Linked DNA regions of Oryzias latipes. The protein of the gene in region 2 interacts with the protein of the main gene of each other region in a pairwise test. Links are inferred from orthologs where the notes say so. Each region holds a gene or a part of one and is shown on either strand. Other genes may lie near its edges.

Region 1 (4,121 bases), on a different chromosome or scaffold from region 2:
AGGCTTTTAATACTTTTAAACCAAATTTCTTGCATTACTTACTTTCTCTGATCTTTGATTGACCAAAGATTTTGATTGCTTTCACACTGCCACCAAGAGGCACCAGGATTCCCTTGCAACCAAACCAAGATTATTGTTTCCCGGCAGATCCGAGCTCATGTTTGTATCCACGGAAATGAACAGCAGCGTCCTGCAGGTGTCATGGTGAGTTCAGGAGTTCAGTCCCAAATAAACTCCCATGAGAACTTGACTGTGCCGACATTCAGCGTTTTTTGGAGCATTCGATGTATCTTTCAACAGGAAACCTTTTTACCTTGAACATTTTAAACAATTTCAACCAAACACATTTCTTTTATTTAAATCTAAAAAAGCTTACAAGAACCATGCTTTTTTGTTAGTTCATCTATGAGTTTATGGTAATCATGAAGGGTTAATGCAGATCGAGTGATCAAATCTGGCACAGCTGTTAATGAAATTATCCAGTCATTTACATAAATGTTTGTTCTTAATTATTCATGCAGCTCGAAACAGGAATTTCCCTCTGAATGAAGATGATGGAGCTCAATTTACATCAAATATTCATAAACGTTTGACCTAAGAGAAATATTTCTTCATCTGGAAGCACATGCAGGTCTGCTCTGGATGATGGACAAATTAATGTTTACTTCAGCGTGGGGGCTCACCTTGCGTTTTTGATGTTCGGGCCGCACAGTATTCTTAAAGGAGGAATGAAAATACAAAGAGCTTTACTACTACAGGTCACTTTATCATTCGTGAAATCTCATGACATGACACATTCAGTGTTTGTGAGGGTTTAAAAATCCTGGAGAGTCATTCTCTCATCGCAATTCAGAGGGCTGAGCAGCAAGTGCTCCACAAGACTGTCATTCCACTGGAAGGAGAACAGAAACCTCTTGTGTGTGGGAGTGGAGGTGACAAGAGAGCTTCTGCTGCCATCCCTTAAGGCCTGTTCACACCGGGACGAATTTCGCCGGCGATTTTCGCCGACGTTTAACGCCTCGTGACTAAACAAAGGGCACCAACGAGAGTGTGCACACCGACGCGAAAAAACGCGACGCGTTAAAGCGTCAAAAAAAAAAAAACGCCTCGGGTTCGTTTTTTTTTTTTGACGCGTCGCGTCGAAATCTACTCGACCAATGAGAATGGCGCTTTTGCTCACGTGTCTGGAGCTTCTGAAGTTACAGTAAAACACAACTTGGGGGCGCTCAAACACAAAACTGCCTTGCTGAGCACACATACCAGCGAAGAAGATAGACGCCAAGTAGCGTCTACACAGCCGCGAAGCAATAATGACGGACATTCTAAAATATCCCCGAACCAAGCACCAGTTGGACCTACTGGTGCTTGAAATATTCATGTTTTCGTTGTTTGATTCTGACAAGCGTGTAAATACTTGCTCTCTTCTTCTGAGTGAAAAGCGACTTTAAGAAGCGTAAAGTTGCGCAGCGCCACCTTGTGTACAGGAGTATTTCTGTTTTACATTAAGCGCCATCTAATGTCAGGGAATGAAATTGCATGTTCGCTCCACTCATCGTCAGCGAAAATCGCCTGGGTGTGAACACAAAAAACGTGGCGAAAAACGCTGGCGAATAACGCCTGGCGAATATTCGTCCCGGTGTGTACGGGCCTTTACCCTGATGACTCCTCCAATAATGTGCTGCTAATTAGAGTCTGAGCAACATGTGACCCACATGCTGAACTGCCTCCGGCTGCTGGAGATCTATATTGCATAGCCTGCATCAAGAGGGGACCATATTTGTGAATTTAGGCTACGAAAAGGTGCCTGAATTCCAGTGTTCATGGGTTTTTGTGGCTTTCTCTAAAATTTACAAATAAGAGAAAAACTTTAACAGAATTTGAGGCTTTGACAGCATCATTGCAAAGCAAATAAAACATAATTTAGGAAACTGTTCTTTTTTGCAACAATTCCGATTAAACAGCGTTTTTTAGAACTGTTAAAAATAAGTAACCCCTTTATTTTGGAAAGTAATACTCTTCCTTTAGCCAATGTATCTAACCTTCAAGTTTTAGTAGGTAATGCATGTATCATTATGTAGCAATCAAATTGTGAGCCTTTTTAGCCCTTTAAAGCAGTACTTCTTAAGATAATTTATCAAATAACAATAAAAAATATTAGTTTTGATATCGTTTTAATCATTTTCTAAAAAAAACAACAACTTTGTCATAACTATGAGTTTGACTTCTTTTAAACAGCTGAGACAATTTTTCAATCAATGTCACGTTGATTAAGTTGATATCCTATTCAGTTAAATGAGAGCTGAACTTTTTCTTTAGTTTATCAGAGAAACAGAGATCATGTCGTACCTTGGTTTCCTTCTGGCTGTTGCTCGTCGTTGGGGATTTTGGCGTCTCATCCTGGTCCCGGTCCTCCTCGTTGCCCCCGCTGTCGTCCTGAATCGTGTTTGCCGGCGGGATCATCCTCTCTTTTAATGATCTCTATTATTTGGAAGAAAAAAAAGGGGGAAATCGCGGCTGCTCTTCAGAGTTTGACTCCTGTTAGGACTGTTTCCATCGCTCTTGAAGTCACCCCGGAAAAAAAGAAAAACAGAAAAAAAAACAGAAGAAAGAAAAAGAAAAGTGTTATCCTCGATAAAAAAAAATGTAAACGTTTGGCAGGAGCTGGCCCATGGACTGCTTGTAGGAGTGACGTTTTATGGAGTTTGGTCAGGGTTCCTCTGAAATGCTCGCGTCTGTAGCGGCGCCGTGCGTAAATCTTCAAGACGTCTCCAAGTCCACGCTGTGCGCTGAGGCGCGCGCGTTGTAGTGCCAACAGTCTGAGGGGCGGAGAGCTTTAAGAGAGGCATCACCGGGAAGGAGGAGAGTTACCACGCAGTCAGAGCTGCCAAAGTTTAGCTCCAAGACGCACTAAAAATAAACAAGCCCGGCTTGATACAGACCTTCTAATCTGTCTAGGGGGAAAAACGGAGGGGAAAGAAACAATTTTGTAGAAAAATAATCAAATGAAACTTTAGATAATACATCAAATAACAGTTTTCACATTTATGGAGATTAAAACACTAAGATTCCTGCCTGTTAAAATAATCTCTTGCTCATTTTGCCATACCACCACCCCCTTATCCTAATTTCTAAGGCATGAGAGGACTGAGAAATACAGGAGCCATTCAGAGCATCTCTGCGAATGAGATGACTGAATTAGTGTACGTTAGAAGTTAAATTTAAAATAGACTTTTCTTAATTTTTCACAACAAATTCTTTATTATCAAACCTTTGTAAATACATTTTCTGTTCAGAGTAAACATGTCCAAACATTTCAGATAGGGATAGAAAATAGCTGAAACAATAATAAAAATTGAAAATGTTTTTTTAAAAACAATTGTACCATACATTAGAAATGATGCAAAATAACGATTGGTAAAATAAACCCTTATTGCATTTCTTAAGTGCTTTCCAGACCTCCCATAACCCTGTAAACCTATATGTACTTTGAATAAATAAAAAATGGATCATTTTGTCCCTCCCGATAGAGTGTAGGGGTAGAATTGGGATTTGCTGAATTTTCCAGCTCAAAACGTCATTAGTGTGAATTTTGTATTTATTTTCCCTCAAAAACTTGATATAGGTGTTACATTTTTAAGGAAATTGTTGTCCCACCAAAGCGTAATTACTATTTGTTATGTATGTGTTCACACTAATCAAAAACAATCTCTAGCAAATCCAAAACAGTTTTATTTTTCCAAAATGTGTGAAGAGGTGCAGGAATCTGTGTAATAACAAAACATCAAACACATGACTGTTGCCAAATAAGTTTTTTTGCTCCAACTTCAAGATATACTGTTCAGTCCAAGAAAAATGGCAAACAAACAAACCAGCCTGCTGTGAAAACATATAACGTGACAACACGTCATCTGCATAAATTTAAATATGGGGCTCATTCAATAAAACCTCTAAGACACCATATTATTTCCTCACTTGCATCAAAATTGAAGCAACTTCCCTCTCCACGTGGGAAAGGTGTGATATTCATTGTAGTGATGCATCACGCCTCCTCCCTGCCGTTTCTTTTGTGATGTCCTTGAAGTTAAATTGCAGGACAAAGGCGGCAGGCGCCAGACTGACAG
Region 2 (5,940 bases):
GGGTGTGTGTTTGTGTGCACTGGTGTGTGTAGTTGTGCGATGTGGTGTGCGTGTGCGCTAACAATGTGTATGTGTGTGTTGCCTCTGCAGGACCTGGGTGGCGCGCTCCCTCGGGGTCAGGTGTGTCATGACGAGCAGCGCCTGGAGGTGATCTTTGACGACCTGGCCCGTCGCCGTGACGACTCCCAGCAGCGCAGCTGGGCGCTCCACGAAGACCACGCCCTCATCGCCTGCTACCTGGAGGAGCTGCTGAAGATTCTGGTAACAACAACGACCCACTTCTGACGCAGGTGTTTGCAAAAAGTTCCAGATGTTTGGTGACCCGGACGGATCAGATCAGATGGATCCACAGATCAGATCAGAAGCTGAATATATCAGACAGGAGGCAAAGCAGATGATGATGATGATGATGATGATGAGGCCGCAGAGTGAGTTTGTGAGCAGTTGCTGCCGTTTCCTCCTCAGACGGACGCTGATCCAGAGGTGTGTAAGAGGATGTGCAAGGCCAACCACTGTGAGAACGTGCTGTCTCTGGTTTCTTATTACCAGATGGTGAGAGAAAGTATTTACTAAGAACCTCCCACAATGCACTGTGGTCCTGCAGAGGAAGCGTGATGTTGTTGTTTGAGATGGCCGCTGCTGTGCGTGCAGGAGCACCGCGTGTCTCTGCGCCTGCTGCTGCTCAAAGTGTTCGGCGCCATGTGCAGCCTGGATGCCGCTCTCATCTCCACCCTCCTGAACTCCATCCTGCCCATGGAGCTGGCCAGAGACCTCCAGACGGACACGCAGGGTGAGAGCGTCGTCCACGGGGAAACCGGGATTCATTTAGGAAGAGTTCGATAAAGAATAATCCAAGCATTCTATTCAGGTGGAAGACAAAATGCTGCAATTTAAATTGAAGTTTCCTAGTTCAAATAAAAGTTTAATCATCTGGAAAACAACTGAAACTGAACAAAATTAACACATAATAATGAAAGAACAGTGATCTGAAATCATTTCAGAGCCCTTTGTGCCTCTCCGGTTTCTAAGCAACGTCTGTTTCCCACTTTGTCTGGCTTTTATTTTGCAGTTTTAACAGGAAACTGTGGAATCTGTCAAACTCGAATTATGCAGAGGATCAAATTGACTTTTTATGACTCATAAATGTAGTTTTTGATCAGGATTTGATTTATTAAAGCAAAGAAAAAACACTAGCCAAGCCTGTAAAACCCTAACATAGTCAGACTCCCATAAGCCTTTACTGCTCATCGATTCCTTGTTGATAAAAAAAAAACACTACAATTTAATCTGGACTATGTTTGTTTGATAGTCCAGATTCTTTCAGTGTAACAAATATTTTGTAAAGAACACCTTTACTTGAATTAACAATAATTTCATTATAGTGTGTTAACTTGAAGTTGGCCTCACAACAACTGTTGTTGAAGATGGACATACAGTGTTTTGGTGAGGAAGGGTACCTGCTGCGTCTTTAGTTTGCATCCTGGTCTTTCTAGAGCCAAAAAACACAAAAACGTAGCTGGAGATGTCAATTCCAGAAACATCCACTGGAGGCACAGATGACTCTAATCCCACTCTGTTTAAATGTAGGGAATTCATTTTTGGTTTGAGCGTCTCTGGGATTCCTCCCATCCTTAACAGCCATTCAGTTTCAGTCACCACACTTCTCTTCACCACAAAAGGAAGTCCGGATGACTAAAGAAAATCCTGCCTCTGCACAGATAACCCGTCCTGTTCTGATGGATTGTTCAGGCGTGAGAACATGAACAGAAGCTACTTTGATTCACAGACTCTTTAATACCTTTAACTCCTAAATGTTTCTGTAAGCCTTTTCAGTGCTCTGAACCTTTTTTCTTCAATGATCTTCACTGGTGTCCATGGATTACATGAAATCTTTCCACCTTTATCCACCTTTGTCATGGTAGGGGGGACACGTCAATGGAAGGGGGGGGGTCATCTAAGATAGCACAAGATGATATATTCCTTGATTCCTGGAATTTTCAAGAACGTTTTCTGAGCGACTCCCCTAACCCTGAAGATGTGACCAATCTGCAGTTTTAGGCAATTCCCTTCACAGTCTAAATTTGAACTGATCATAAGTTTAAAAGTATCAGTATTTGTTTTTGAAAGTCAATTGCAAATGTCTGTTTTTTTCCACCAGAACACCAGAAGATGTGCTACTCTGCTTTGGTCCTTACGATGGTCCTCTCCATGGGGGAGCAGGTGCCCTATCGTCACTACGGTACGGAAAAAAGCAATCCCCTAACTTTCTCTGTGAAATCACACCATCTGAGCTGATGGAGGAAAAGAATTTGTTGGTTGAAGTTGAAAAACACCAAAAGTCTGGGAAATGTCTATTATTATGGAAATATCAGTAAACGATCTTTTAAAAAACCAAAAAGAATGCAAATGTCTGAAATTGTTTCAGACTTTTGTTCAAAAGAATCATCATTAAAATTAACATAAACGCTGATTCCCTTAAATGAATATTAAAGTCCCACTCCGTTTCTCTTCTGATCTGTTGTCAAAGCATTCAGAGGTCATTTCAGTTACCCTCGTGCTTTCCTAGGCTCTTTTATGTTGGGAGTGGGGTCATCTAGACCCACTAGACAGTGCTCTGAACCTTTTTTCTTCAATTATTTGTGATCTTCACTGGTGTCCATGGATTACAGGAAATCTTTCCACCTTTATCCACCTTTGTCATGGTAGGGAGAACACGTCAATGGAAGGGGGGGGGGGGGGGGGGTCATCTGGACCCCACAAGAAAGCACAAGGGATTAATGTGTGAGTTTGGCGTGTTTCAGCTCCTCAGACAGATGTGACTATCCTGCTTGAGACTTCTGTGAAGCTCTTAGAGCAGCGGCCCCCAATTCCCGGGCCGCAGACCGGTACCGGTCCTTGGGTCCTTTGGTACCGGGCTGCAAAGAAAGAATAAATAACTTACTGTACATGACTTCTGTTTTATTTATTTTGGAATCTGAAAGATGTTTTATTTTGAAAAATTGCCTGATTCTCTGTTCCATCAGTCTATGTCACTCTTGACGCAGGCCCAGGGTCTCCTCTCGGTCACATGATAGGTTACTGCTAAAATAAAAACCAGGAGCTAGCAAAATGAGTAAAAACAAACGTCTTTGGAAAGTTTCTTTGCCAAAGGGAAAGCCAGGAGACAGAAGAGGAGCCTTCCACTTCCAAAAAAAGAAATCTACATTTAATAGACACTACTTCTTGTTTGCACCATGAGTGTGGGAAGGGGAGAGGATGATGACACCTGTGCGTGTCAAAATAAAAGCTCAGAGTTTATCTCGTTACGTCTCCGTTTCTCCTTCATCGTTGCTACAATAGTTTTCCGCCACATTTGAAAGACCGGTCCGTGAAAACTTTGAGTGACGCCATACCGGTCAGTGGCTTCATAAAGGTCGGGGACCGCTGTCTTAGAGGACACACCTTTCTTTAAAATGTCCTTGTGGTCAAAGTACTTTCATTTTTTTCCTGTTATTTTGTTACATCTAATGAATATGTTGAACAGTTCAAAAGAAATGGCCCAATGACTCTCAGACCTCCATTGTTTATGTTTATACAAAATCTAATGTTTTGAACTTTAAAGTGTTTTCTAATGTTCATTCCTCACGAAAAACAACCCCAAAGCGGTATTTGGATCCATTCACACTTTTCTGAGCGTTCCCCTTAGAACCTGCTCTCTGAGCACCAGCCTCTCCCAATCTACGAAAACAAGCGGGTCCTCACATTGTGACATCACAAAGTGAGGACCCGCCCCTTCCAGGAAGAGTCTGCACTGCCAGGCGGTGCTTGTGGTGCACTTTCTCTGCAAAATCGGCAAAAACTCTTACCTTTTATGTGCACAGTATGCACATCCATCTTTACAAAAGTTTGGATGTTTGATTTTGTGGGAGAAACGCAGACACGCCGCCGAGGCCGACTATAGGTTGACGCCATAAAATGGGCAACACCCACACAGAGAGAAAGGCGGGGCCTCAGAGCTCGAGTCCTGTTACTTCTGGAGAGGAAAAGAACTCAGTAAAAAATGTGTTCTGTTGTGTGCCAAAGGTAATGTATTATCATAAACATGGATATTGTTAACTCTAAAAGGCTTAGAAATAGCATCATGCAGGCCCTTTAAGTTATTTCTGTGACCGCTGTGGTTTTTTCTTTAATTAATGTCCAAACGTGTATCTATTAACCTGTTTGGAAGTTGTAATTAAAAGAAAAAGAAAAGCTTCAAGAGAATTGCTTGGACTCCCCTCTTTTTTTTCCAGAGCACTTGAATGCAGAATTCATCCGGTTTGTTCTGGGCGTCGTGGAGGACGGACTTCCCTCTGATCCTACTGAGCAGTTACCTGACATCTTCCTGAACCTCCTGCTGGCCTTTAACCTGCACCACACGGGTCAGAACAAACTCCTCAGATCACATTTTTACATTTTTCCTTTGGTTTCTTTCTTGTTTTTTAACCGACATACATTGTAGTAATAATTTCTAAAAGTGTGCCTGCCACCTTTTTCAGTCCCCAGCAGCAATGTGCTGATGCAGGAGGTGTACCAGAAAAATGTCAGAGTCCTGACGGAGAAAGTCTTGCTGCTCCTCAACAGAGGCGGTAAATCCAAACGGTTCTTTCCAGTTTTTCAGACGCTCCACCTCTTTCTCTGTCCCATGAACCTTTGCTCTGCGCTCCGCAGACGACCCGGTGTGCATGTTCAAACACACTCCACCAGCGCCGCACGCCGTCCTCAAGTTTCTGCAGGACGTCTTTGCTAGTCCAGAGACCGCCAACATCTTCTACCGCACTGACATGATGGTGATGATCGACATCGCAGTCCGACAAATATCGGATCTGTCACCTGGAGACAAGGTTAGCCTCATCGGCACGTTAGCATCAGCGCATCTGCTAAAGCCTGAAGTCCTTTTCATTTCTCTGTGAAGCTGAGGATGGAGTATCTCTCTCTCATGCACGCCATCATTCGCTCGACGGACTACTTGGAGCACCAGCACCGCCTCCGCGACCTGCAGGCGTCCCTGCAGAGGATCCTCACCGAGGAGGAGGAGGAGGGAGAAGAGGAAGGGAGCGCCACAGCAAGGCAGATGGATAAGCTAATCGTACAGCAGATCTTCACGGAGTTCCCTCAGATCTGTGAGGCCTAACACATCAGCGTCATGCTCACGCACTGCAGTCTGCTTCCGTTCACAGCAGGGGGCGATCTGCGTTCATCCCTGGAAGCCGTCACTTTCATCTCTGGATTAGACGTTTCGAAATAGCTTGCAAGAATAGAAAATATTGCAATTGCACAAAAAAAGAGTAGAGAAACGACAAGAGTTTAAGCCAAACACCTGATGTGCTGTCAAAGTGAATTCCCAGCAATAACCATATCCAGTTTCCATGGACTAACTGCATGTGTTCTGTAGGATTTCATTGTTCATCACCTTCTGGCTGATTTCAGGGGAAGTGTGAAGGTTTGGGTGAAGCAGGTCTGTGAGGAGAGGAGGTGCCATGAGTTCAGTGCTGACTGAGAACCTGTTTGTTAGTCCTTGAATTGGGACCAAACTACTGTGTTACTGAGAGTATTATTTTCTTAGCTGGATGCTGCACTCTTAATGTCTTCTCTTTTTTCATTCATATCTTAAAGTCAGGTTAGTTAGAAACCATGACGAAGTTTACGTGTTCTGAGGCAAGGAGCCAAACAAATCTGAAGCTGCTGATCGCTGCTGCGTTTGAGTCTGCTGTGCTTCTGCAGCTTTCTCCGCCTGCTGCTTCTCTGACGTTCGGCTGTAAGCGCTCACTCTTTGCTAACTTAAGGCTCCTGGAGCATCAGAATTGATCCTGAAGCCGTCTGTGCTGCATCAAGGCTTTATGACAACAGAGTTTTCGGCTGACGTGAAGCGTTCTGCAGGTATTCTCTGTGCTCTAGCATCAAGCAGCGTTGTTCAGTTAG

The links. The genes of interacting proteins can lie anywhere in the genome.
Region 1: the proteins of nckipsd (region 2) and stac interact in binary tests that used the Homo sapiens proteins (3 or more experiments, as listed by UniProt). The link is inferred for Oryzias latipes from reciprocal best matches to the Homo sapiens genes NCKIPSD and STAC.

The regions. Positions count from the first base shown.
Region 1 is NC_019880.2:9,979,427-9,983,547, reverse strand, and holds the start of stac (SH3 and cysteine-rich domain-containing protein), read right to left. Parts: upstream 2,801-4,121; 5' UTR 2,461-2,800; coding exon 2,347-2,460; intron 717-2,346; coding exon 684-716; intron 1-683. UniProt on the Homo sapiens protein: Promotes expression of the ion channel CACNA1H at the cell membrane, and thereby contributes to the regulation of channel activity.
Region 2 is NC_019863.2:1,724,842-1,730,781, forward strand, and holds part of nckipsd (NCK-interacting protein with SH3 domain), read left to right. Parts: intron 1-90; coding exon 91-261; intron 262-465; coding exon 466-552; intron 553-651; coding exon 652-790; intron 791-2,158; coding exon 2,159-2,239; intron 2,240-4,271; coding exon 4,272-4,400; intron 4,401-4,517; coding exon 4,518-4,607; intron 4,608-4,689; coding exon 4,690-4,862; intron 4,863-4,933; coding exon 4,934-5,152; 3' UTR 5,153-5,940. UniProt on the Homo sapiens protein: Has an important role in stress fiber formation induced by active diaphanous protein homolog 1 (DRF1). Induces microspike formation, in vivo. In vitro, stimulates N-WASP-induced ARP2/3 complex activation in the absence of CDC42.